Linked DNA regions of Nothobranchius furzeri. The protein of the gene in region 1 interacts with the protein of each later gene in a pairwise test. Links are inferred from orthologs where the notes say so. Each region holds a gene or a part of one and is shown in the gene's direction. Other genes may lie near its edges.

Region 1 (4,182 bases):
ATCATGTTGCCTCTGTTGCTCGTTCATGCCGCTTTGCGCTGTATAACATACAAAAGAGCATACTATACCTAACACAACATGCCACCCAGCTCCTGGTGCAATCTACTGTCACCTCCCGCCTCGATTACTGCAATGCTCTTCTAACTGGTCTTCCAGGCTGTACTGTGAGACCTCTTCAAATGGTCCAGAACACAGCGGCGCGTCTGGTCTTCAATCAGCCAAAAAGAGCACACATCACCCCTGTTCATTGAGCTCCACTGGCTACTGCTAGCAGCATGCATCAAATTCAAATGGCTAACACTAGCATACAAAGTCCGAGATGGTACGGCTCCCATCTACCTGAGTCCTCTTGTAAAGGCTTACATCTCGGCCCGGCCGCTCCGGTCATCACAGGATTGTCGGCTAGCAGTGCGTACACCACGCTCAGGACAATCCAGACTTTTCTCATGCATCGTTCCACAAATGTGGAATGACCTTCCAAGCACTACCAGAACTGCGGCTTCCTGTTCAATTTTCAAGAAACTCCTGAAGACCCTGCTCTTCAGAGAGCATCTTCTTAACTAGCACCCTCACTGCACCGGTCCCCCCTCTCTACTGTCCACTCCTTGTTCCCTCCTCTCCATGACTGATGTCAAGTTGTTGTTGTTACTATTGTTGTTAGCCTCAAGGGCAACATGCCGATTATCACTTGTAAGTCGCTTTGGACAAAAGCGTCTGCTAAATACATAAACATAAACATAAACATAAATAAATACACACACTTATGCAATTTCTTTGTTCTCTCAGCATGCATTATTATTATTATTATTATTATTATTATTATTATTATATTTAATCTTCAATAATCTATTCCCTAAAAGACTGAAAGTCAAGGTCAAAGACCACAATAGTTTGGAATTTTGTTTTTAACAGTTGGGCTACCAACTAAAGTCTGTTTGGCTATTGAACCTTAAATTTAACATAAGTGATGATTTAGAGAAAATGTGTTCCCTTATCAGTGTAACATATTAGAATTTTCTTCATTCACATGCAAACATCTTTTCCCTGACCTATTACTGTAATCTACAAATAAATCTGATTTATACCAATAAATTCAAGTTTAAACTTGTTCATCTCTAAGGCGATCCAACATGTCACACGTGCATGTTGTAAACGTTCTAACACAACATTTCATTTCAGGCAGAGGGAGTATCTATTATCCTCAGAGGACAAAACCTTCAGGTTGTGTTTTCTCTTTTTTTAACATCTGATGTTACTGCAGTGGAATCCAATTTGTACCACTGGTACTCTAATGCATGTCCTAAAAAGGATAGGAGGGGTGAAGGTTGGATTTGGATGTGGGGTCAGAGGCTTTGTGTGGGTCACAGAAGGGTATATACAGGCCTCCGTAACTACATGATGCTCGTGGTTTTCTCGGTTTTACCCAGTGTGGATGTTACAGCTCTGATCTTTGCCGCCTGACTGAAACCAATCATGACTTTCTACAAACACTCAGGTAAAATTACACAAAGGTACTCAGATTTAGTAAATTGCTCGATGTAATAACAGATCTAATGTGTAATTTTCTCATCCTTCTAAATGACTTATTCAGGTTTATTTAAAAAAAAAAAGTTCAGTCTTCCGTTTGATCATTAAAAAATATGTAAACTCAAAAACATACAGATTTTATCTTCACTTAATCAGTTAAGTTTCCTCATGTCGGTACGGCCTACCCTTCTACATGTTAGTTTTTACCTCTTAAAAGTTGATTTTAACATCTATAATATTCTTAACAGATTGTAAGGCAGGGCAGCATTATACACAGAGGACAAATAAACTTCTTTGGAGAGTCAGGGAAATAATTAAAAAAGACAGAAAAATGGTATTTAAAAATACATTAAAAGTAATTTTATTTGGTTTTACATAAAAAAAACATTATGTAGCAATTTAAAAAGAACCAGACTAAGAATTAACAAATGAAAGCAATATTAATGCATCTCAGATTTTTCTTTCTTATACTCATTATTATGTAAAACTGTGACATTGTGGAGCTCCTTGAATTATGATTTTTGATAGAAAGATGTGACAGTTATTTATTTATTTAAGAGCATCATCTGAACTCAATTTTATTTTCTGTATCTTTTGATGTCTGATGAAATAGAAACAATCATTCTTACAAATTGACTCACTGAACAGAACGAATCCCTCTCTAATTGCATGTTTGTATGTAGCACTGCATTTTACTCCCAGTTCTCAGTTTCTGCATTTTATTCAATATGATTTGAGCATTTTATAAATGGAGTGATATAGCTAGGGGCTATAATTGAAGAGAAATTTCATACTTACAATTTATTTATTTATTTATTTATTTATTTATTGCATTACTGAGTTACACGTGGGTTTAATCCAATCCTTGTTCACTGGAAAATATTAGAAACCTTAAGAATTGTTAAGATACATTAGCCAACAAATATTATATAGTTATGTTTATTATGATGTAGTCCAACATAAGAGGCCTAAAAGTGAGTAAACTGTGAGGATTTGTTACCTTTTTATTAGTAATATTTTAGTTCTTTGTCGAATAAACCAGAAGAGAGTTTATGATCAGTATTTAAATCATAGTGTCATTAAAAGAGTGGAAATGTGTGATCTAACAGCTGGAGATCTCATTTGAGAATTATCACTTGGTTCACGTTGAAAGACATAAATCATTGTGCTCTCTCTCTCTCTCTCTCTCTCTCTCTCTCTCTCTCTCTCTCTCTCTCTCTCTCTCTCTCTCTCTCTCTCTCTCTCTCTCTCTCTCTCTCTCTCTCTCTCTCTCTCTCTCTCTCTCTCTCTCTCTCTCTCTCTCTCTCTCTCTCTCTCTCTCTCTCTCTCTCTCTCGCTTTAGAAATTTGTTGTTTTCATGATCTCTCTCTCTCTCTCTCTCTCTCTCTCTCTGTAGCTTTAGAAATTTGTTGTTTTCATGATCAGTGTGACACAACAAGACGGAGAACAATGTAGCAGTCTGGGTCAGACAGTCTCAAACTGGTCCCGCTGCGACCTTTCCTAGTGTTGAGGACTTTTCCACAGTGAGACACAGAGATATAATCCTCAGTGCATGCCGTATCGATCGCCTGTTTGACAGCTGCTCCACTGTTTGGAACTAAAGATTAAAGTTCTGGACGGGAGTCAGCCGAAGCCACAATAGGTTTGCCCCAGCAGTCATCACCCTGAGGAGGATCAGTGCTCTTTAAAGAGGGTCAAAGTTAAAATAGGCTCATAGGCCAACTGGGCTCAGTGGAAGCTGCTGTGATGTGACGAGCTGGTATTGGACAGACAGGGAGGGGTTTTCCTATTGCCTGTGTGTGTGTGTGTGTGTGTGTGTGTGTGTGGGTGGGTGGGTGGGTGTTTTGGTTCTTATCCTCAAAGCACAGCTGCTCTCCAAGTTATATCCATCCACACACAACAGAAGCAAATACCACACTGCAGGAGGTTGTTTACTACATCACACTTAAATAGCCACAGCCTGCCTTACACAAATATTTTCATGTCCCTATGGTTACAAGGACAAAATGTCATTCCACCCATCGTTTCCTCCTTTGCTGCTGTTGTTACCGATTAGATTAAAATATCTGTGGCACTGCTTGTGTGCTGTTCAGCTGTCAGTTGAGGCTTCATAAACAACTTTTTAAGTCTGCACACAAGTGATATGTTAAAACACCCACTGTCTCTGGACATAATTCGTTACTGAAATCCGACTTTTAATAAAAGGTCTGATTTGGAGTTCAGACAAAAGACTGTGTGGCAAGGCTCCAGGGCTAGAGTTCACCCACTAGCTTTTCAGGGCCAGTCTGATAAAAAGTCTGCAGGACAGACAACAAGCAGCCATCTGTGTGCTGCAGTTTCACCTCTCTCACACTTGTCTCATGGGTTTGGTATGCTGCTGTAACAGCCGGATCTAGCCGCGTCTTTATGGGAGAACGTGGAAAAACAGATGTTCTTCTTTAAAAATCCTGTTTCTGAGTTGGTTTTAGAGCAAGGAGCTCGGATAAGTAAGCGTTCCTTTATTGAGTACAGAGTTAAAGTCTTAATCAGCTTTAAATTCTTTATAATTTACTTCCAAGCACCAAAGTGGTATTTCAAAGTTGCCTTGATCAGTAGTTATTCAGGCTTTCAAGTTGTTTTTCTGAGGATTTTGAAAGTTTTTTCTGTTCGGTACCT
Region 2 (4,127 bases), about 40 Mb from region 1:
AGAAACAGCAGGTTCTGCTCGGTGGCCTGACCTGCCCTCGACCTGCTGACGAGTGCTTCGAAAACCAGAGGGTGTCAGTGTTCTCCTTCTCGAAGCTCCTCCTGGAGTTTCCTCTCTGTGCTGTGATCTAATGGCTAAACCTCCGCTGTGATGTCAGCTCACTGGTGTCTCGGGCAGCACCAAATGGTTTAGTGCTCCACGTGACATTTCCCTAAGCCCGGAGCCCACTTCTGGATATAAATGGGCTGAAGTGGGGGGAAGGGGGTGACCAAAAAAAGCAACAAAACAACACAGACAATTGTTTTGGAAGGGGTCTCCTTATGAACAGCCTTAATGAAATACATGTCTGACTTAACTGAACCGTTGGCTATTACTGGTATTCTTTTAAAATGACCAGTTAAGACTGTTGTTGCTCCAACAGCAGCCAGCATCTTCACCCTCATTGGTTTCTCATCAAAGAGCTGAAATTTGACTAAAATAGCCTCTTAATTCTTAATAAATCCAAATTTATTTGAGATGCGCGAGTCAAATGTCAAGGTTTATGACAGCTTTCTATGTATAGGTCCTTTAGCCTCCATTTGCCAGTTTGATAAGCCTGCTGTTCTTGGGCAGCATTACCAATGGATTAAATCCATCAGGAATAGACCTCAGTTCCTCACATCAAACTTTTCTTTAAGGAGGAAAAACAGCTCAAGTACTGTGTGAGTTTGTGCTGCCAATCACTTGAGAGTAACCACAGAAGAGCATTGCATCATCCTCAGACCTGCGGCAACGACAACACATTCTCCGTTTATATCCCATTCTCCGGATTTGGCATCCAGTGAGAGGATGTTTTTCTAAAGAACACGAGTTTTATTTTTTATTTGCTGCTGGAGTTGCTGTTGTTTCATAAAGAACAGTGGAAGGGTCTCCTTTAACAAGTGTGATTGTGATTGTCAGCCATTTTTAAGGTTTACTTTAAAAACTAATTTGGAAAAGCAAAAGAAAGGTTTCAGTCTTGATTTAGAATCTGAAATGGGATTTCAAAAGTACAAACTGCCTTCAGCTCCCTGGGCGTTTCCAGTTCTTTGATATTTGTTTCACCGCTAAAACACAAACCAGCAAATTTTGTATTGTGCAGACTGATGGATGAATTGATGATGTAATTTTTTACACAGAGCTCCACCACAGAGAGGAGGAGGAGGAGGAGCATGCCAGCTCTCAAATAAAAGCCCTAAAGCTCAGTCCCCCCCTGGATCTGTCACTGGTCCACCTCTGTTCCCCAACTCAGATTCCCAAACCTTGCATCCTCCTCAGCTTCACTCATCGCGGTGCGAGGGATCCAAGATTTGTTTTTCCAGCTGCATCTCTGTCCCTCTTGGACTGAGAGGGCTCTAGACGCCTTCAAGTCGCACTGCTCTGACCACATCTACCCCGCTCCTTCTGAATCCCTGACAGTTTTCTTGCCTTGCGGCTCAAGATGCCAGAGCCCACAAAGAAAGGTAGGAAACTTGGTTGACTCATGAGGAGATTTCAAAGTATGCAAAAAAAAAAAAAGAAAGAAAGAGCAAAATATACTCTGATAGTATTTACTCATTTGTAAGAACAAAGAAGATTTAATAGAAAGTGAGGATGTGTGATCTCCTACGAATGGAGACTTTATTGCTGTTAATACGTCGTTGATTGAAGGGAGCAGAGCCAGTTGCTCCTGGCTGCAGGGAGATCCATCACTTTGGGACTCGCCTGCCAGCTTTTACATAGGAATCCTCAAAGTGACTTTGACAGTGGTATTGTATTACTGAACCATGCGCGTCTCTGCCATCTTGGGTACAAGAAAAGATTGGAGGTCTACGGATGGACGGTATTGTTACTTGAGGGGTTTGCACATCAGATAGATCCAGCCGGAGAAAGACGCGATGATGAGGAGGAGGCATGCCGATGAGGGCTGAGCCGCAGAAAGGACGATGCAGTTAGGAAGACGCCAAGCAGGGATGAAACTCCTAAATGCTTCTGTGGTGTCTAATATGGTCCAGAGAGCTGTCTCGTACCGGGCCAAAACTCGAGTCAAAATTCAGCCATCCTCAGCATCTTTGACCCTGCCCTCTTGTTGAACCTTTCTAATATTGCTCACCTGCACAATCACGTCCATCACCGCTCTGCTTTAATCCACCTGTGTCTGTCAGTACAACATGGTGTTATGCCTGGCCTCCTCGTCAGATCAGCTGTTATCCACTCGGGCGTGACCATGTAGAGCAAACAGAATGTATTGTTTGGTCTTTGGAGGGGAGGAGGCAGCTCCTGACACAGATACGTCTGTGGGTCCTAGAGTAGGGTTATTTGAGCCCTTAACATTTTAATGCACTATAAAATGTCTTCATCCTCTCCTTGAGTCATTTCACAAAATCTTGTTCATGAACCAGATTACAGTACAAGTACAGGCACCCTAATGGTGCTCATCCACTGCCATAAACATCCCGACCCACCCCGGAGACAAAGCTACAGCAAAAAAGGACACTTCCCATAAATAGCTACCAAACCAACAGATAAATGAGTGGGAAAGTATTGTTCTTTAAATGAGTCTGAACAGCTGAAGGAGAAGAGGGCGGAGGTAGTGTTGCTGCTGTTTTGGACATCCTCCTCTCCAACGAGAAATGATGGACTCACTCAGTCGTCTGCCGGTCTTTTGGGAATTGGATTCTTGTCCCTGGAATAGTTCAGAATGAGCAGACTTTTAATCCCTGTGCCTTGTTCTCTGCCATCTCCCTCCATCACTGCCCAATCCCTCCTCCTCTTCCTTCTTGCTCACCAAAACAGACACCTCCCTGCCACTTTCCATTCAGGATGGATCGCTTAGAGGTCAGGTGCCGCCCTATTAAACGTCTGCCCCTTGTACCCACAGGGCTCACAGGGTTGTTCTCACTGTTTACAACTTCTGAGCGCCAGCAGACGACTGACTTGTGTCCTCAACTCCACGTTCTATCACTCTCCCTGCACGCTGTCCTCTGAAAATGTTGTTGCATGTTGATGGATAGCACGTCATGAATAAAACTTGTCTTAAAAGAATGAAGATCTGTCAGCAGCTAATTGTCACCCCAGAACACTTTTGTTCTATTTATAGGCACAAAAGGCCACAAACAACATCACAAGACAAAGGAAAAACATCAAAGCCATCAGGTTATCTTTGGTTGCATCGTAAGGGTTTATATAAGGTAAAAAAAAAGGGGGGTGCCGGCAGTTTGGCTCTCATTTGAGCCTCTGTGAGCCTTTCTGTCTGCGTGCCAGCAGGGCCAACAGCTGCAAATACCTGTCACCCAGTCAGCTGCACTGGAATCCTCAGAGGTAAAACAAAACCTTTCTCCACTCTCATTATCTCGACGGTGATGAGACAGCGAGCGGACGTGGCTCGCTCTCGGGTAGATGATGTGACCCTGCAGGATTGTGGTCCGGTGGCCAGCAGCACATTGTTTTCAAGTGAGGTGGGAGGGAAGCTAATTTTGAAAAGGATTTTTAACGGGAATCGTTGCAAACGGATGCTTACAGAATATAGAATATCCTTTAATAAAAGAATGACATTTGTTGATAGCCCGTTGTAGAATTAATTAGCAGTGTTCAGAATGATGAAAGTCTGAAACTCTGCATGAAGAAAGAGAGATTATTTCACCTCCTGAAAGCCTGCTTCTATAGGAGGATCTTGGCTTTTGGAATTATAATACTTTATTCTGTCCAACCTTCCTGACCACTTCCAATTCTCACACCTGACTTTAGTTTTTATCAATTTTAGGAAAACACATTTTTGAGCAACTACTTGAAAAATGTTTTTTTTTTATAATGTGATGCCATTTCAAACAGAAACCTCAAAAATGTAAAAATCAGTTGGTGGGTAGGGGAGGGGCTGCATTATGGAAAAGGAAACTAGGGTCTAAAAACTTAATATTAAATAAGTCTGGAAAAATAAAAACAATTTCCATCGTAATAAAACTTTGCCTGAAGAAGTAAAGAAAACAATCTTTTATATAGTGCCTCTGAATATAAAAATCACGAGGTGCTTCATGAGAAGAAAAAAAATTAAATGCAGAAAAAAATTACAAAAGAAATATATATATATATATATTGTTAAAAAGAGAAAAGAAAAAAATTCAACATTTTGA
Region 3 (2,769 bases), on another chromosome or scaffold:
CAGAAGAAGCCGAGTCCTCTGCAAATGCCGTCCTGGAGCTACATGTGAAAGAGGAGACCGTGGCCATCTGCACGGGCCTCCAAACAGATGAGATCGCCAGTGTCACCCTGGAGCAGCCCGTTGAGCCCACGGTGGAATGTTCCGCTCCCCTTAGTGATGCAGCAAACGTGGAGATAGCTGTAGAGGAGAAGCCAGAAGGTTCAGGAAAAGCAGAAGCCACAGAAGACCCGGTTCTCCAGGCTCATGTCCACCAAGTACAAACTCTTGAGCTTGAGCCTGTTGCTGAAAAGTTGCAAAGCGAAGTGGTGGATGTCCAAGTTGCCACCGAGAGTTACGAGCCTGGGATCGAGAAGGTGGCAGTGGTCAGCACCGAGAACTCTGAGGTCATTCAGCCGACAATGCTGAAGCAGAACTCCCCTAAATCGGTGGTAGTCGATGCCATCGCACCAACGCCCGAGGCGGTTGTCTGCACCCGGATGGTGGAAGTTGCTGAGATGACTGTGGAGATCAAAGAGGTCAGAATGGAGCTGGAGCAGCTTGCTGCAAGTCAAGAAAGTACTCCTGTAGGGGAGGCGAGTCAGGTTGTGGCCAAAGAGGTGTCATCTGCACGTTGTGACACTAAAGAAAACGCAGAGGGGTTCAAAACAGCTGCTCCTGCTGTTGTAACAAGCGAGGGAAACGCTGTTGTCATAGAGACGGTGGTTCTTGTTGCGCCAGAGAAGGAGCATCAAACTAAAGAGAACGACGTCGAGAAGGCTTCTGAGAAGATTGAAAAGGCCACGGAAGAGGTCCATCTGGGCAGCGAGCTTGTGACTCATAGTGTGGTGATCGCAGAGGCTGTGATTACGGAAGCTGTCGATAAAGTTTTAGAAGATGCTTCCCACCTCAAGAAGTCAGCAGCTCCACCAGCAGCTACGGAAACACCAGTCAAAGCAACCGCGACGACACAAGACGAGATAGAAATCACAGCCGAGTGTGTCGTCATCACCGACACACCTGTTCCTGTCGTCTGTGAACAACCAGCAGCAACGTCGCTGCAGGCGCTCTTTGTCGCCATGGAGGTCACTGAGACCGTCCCGTTGGAGGTCACACACAACATAGTGGAGAAGGAGGAAGAGGAGAAGCCTAAACAAAGCTTAAAGATGGCAGAGCAGGTGAAAGTGAGTGAAGGAACGATTATTGAGGAGGAAGTAACAGAGATGGTCGAAGAGGGCAAAGGTCAGGAGGAAAATGGGTCACAGAAAGTGTTGGAGATCCACATGCCGACCCAGGTGATCCTGCAGTCGGCGGATGTGGTTGAGGAGAAGCCAGCGGAGGTGGAAACCACGGTGGAGCTTGACGGGGACAACACAAACGCAACAGCTGACAAGCCTTCAAGACAAAACAGCCTCCCAGAGCTACCAGAGGAACCTCAAGAGACGGCTTCAGGAGAAGATGCAGCAGAGGAGCCAGAAGCCGGGCAGAAAACATCGGGAAAGTGCGCGGAAGTGATGGCGCAGGTGATCGAGGAGGCGGTGAAGGAGATCGAGCCCGTGTCCATGGAGATCACAGCAGCATCATGAGCAGGTGAGACCCTGGGGCAGAACAAAATTTACACGACATGTTTCCACCGGTCTTCTATTCAGCATCGGTGGGTTTTTCTTTTATTAGGGAGCAGAGGAGGAGATTTGCACACCGACCAGATGAAAAAGCTTTTGTTCAGACTTTCAGTAACCAGGGCACCTTTGATATCAAAGCAGGAATGCCAGCATTCACCCCGTCTTTGTGGGCTTTGGGATCTTAAAGGGAAGCGATGTGTGAGGGGCAGATGAACTTGTGCTGAAAGGCTGATTATGATTCCTCCGCTCCCTCCTCCTGTTTTTCATCCATCACAGACCTAACATGGAGTCAAGAAACCATGTTGGAGAACGCTTTCTAAGATCTGCCCACAAAGTTATGGGTTTTATTTTCTCAGTTTTGACTAAATAAAGTCTTAATGTGAGGTATGTGTGACAGAGACACAACTGATGGTGTCTGCTATGAGCAATGAAACTGGGCGTGTTTACTAAGCAGTCTTGCTTTGTTCTGTAGTAATATCAGACTTTTGGTTCTCTCCACAGATGAAGCTGCAGAAGTGATGCCTGGGAGACGAGCTGTCTGGACCAGGAAATAAACGACGGGAGTGTGAGAGAGAGAAAACAGTGAGGGTGCTCTGTGGCGACACACACACTCTCTGTGGTGACTGTCCATCCCATCCAGACAGACGAGTATCTCCATTCTCTCTCCTCCCACCTGTCCCTGACCCCTGACCTGCAGCCCCTTCACAACAACCACAAGGCAGCCCATCGTTGTCCCCTCACACGCATGCGCGCGCGCACACACACACACACACACACTCACGCACACACACACACACACACACACTCACGCACACACACACACACACACACACACACACACATGCTCGTGCATGTCCTGCATCTCAGAAAGCATCTGGCTCCTAAACACTCTCATCGTACCGTCACAAGTCTTGCTGCAACTTGGTTGTGTGTGTGTGCGTGCGTGCGTGCGTGCGTGCGTGCGTGTGTGTGTGTGTGTGTGTGTGTGTGTGAATGTGTAAAGAAGCTAAAGTGAGGGGGACTTCTGAGACAAAGAGATGGATATTATATCTTTGTACATTGTATTTATATCATCAGTATTCACTCATATGTCTTTATTTTTCCTCTTTATTTGCTTTTTTATGTATGAATATTTGTTGCTTTTTGTTATAGAGCATATTAAATTCAACAC

Evidence for each region.
Region 2: the proteins of fhl1a (region 1) and mybpc1 interact in a two-hybrid assay, tested with the Homo sapiens proteins (2 studies listed by BioGRID and IntAct). The link is inferred for Nothobranchius furzeri from reciprocal best matches to the Homo sapiens genes FHL1 and MYBPC1.
Region 3: the proteins of fhl1a (region 1) and akap12b interact in binary tests that used the Homo sapiens proteins (3 or more experiments, as listed by UniProt). The link is inferred for Nothobranchius furzeri from reciprocal best matches to the Homo sapiens genes FHL1 and AKAP12.

What each region holds. Positions count from the first base shown.
Region 1 is NC_091741.1:82,973,602-82,977,783, forward strand, and holds the start of fhl1a (four and a half LIM domains protein 1a), read left to right. Parts: upstream 1-1,248; 5' UTR 1,249-1,473; coding exon 1,474-1,495; intron 1,496-4,182.
Region 2 is NC_091741.1:43,201,581-43,205,707, forward strand, and holds the start of mybpc1 (myosin-binding protein C, slow-type), read left to right. Parts: upstream 1-1,246; 5' UTR 1,247-1,459; coding exon 1,460-1,481; intron 1,482-4,127. UniProt on the Homo sapiens protein: Thick filament-associated protein located in the crossbridge region of vertebrate striated muscle a bands. Slow skeletal protein that binds to both myosin and actin.
Region 3 is NC_091742.1:2,886,907-2,889,675, reverse strand, and holds the end of akap12b (A-kinase anchor protein 12b), read left to right. Parts: coding exon 1-1,562; 3' UTR 1,563-1,566; intron 1,567-2,099; 3' UTR 2,100-2,154; downstream 2,155-2,769. UniProt on the Homo sapiens protein: Anchoring protein that mediates the subcellular compartmentation of protein kinase A (PKA) and protein kinase C (PKC).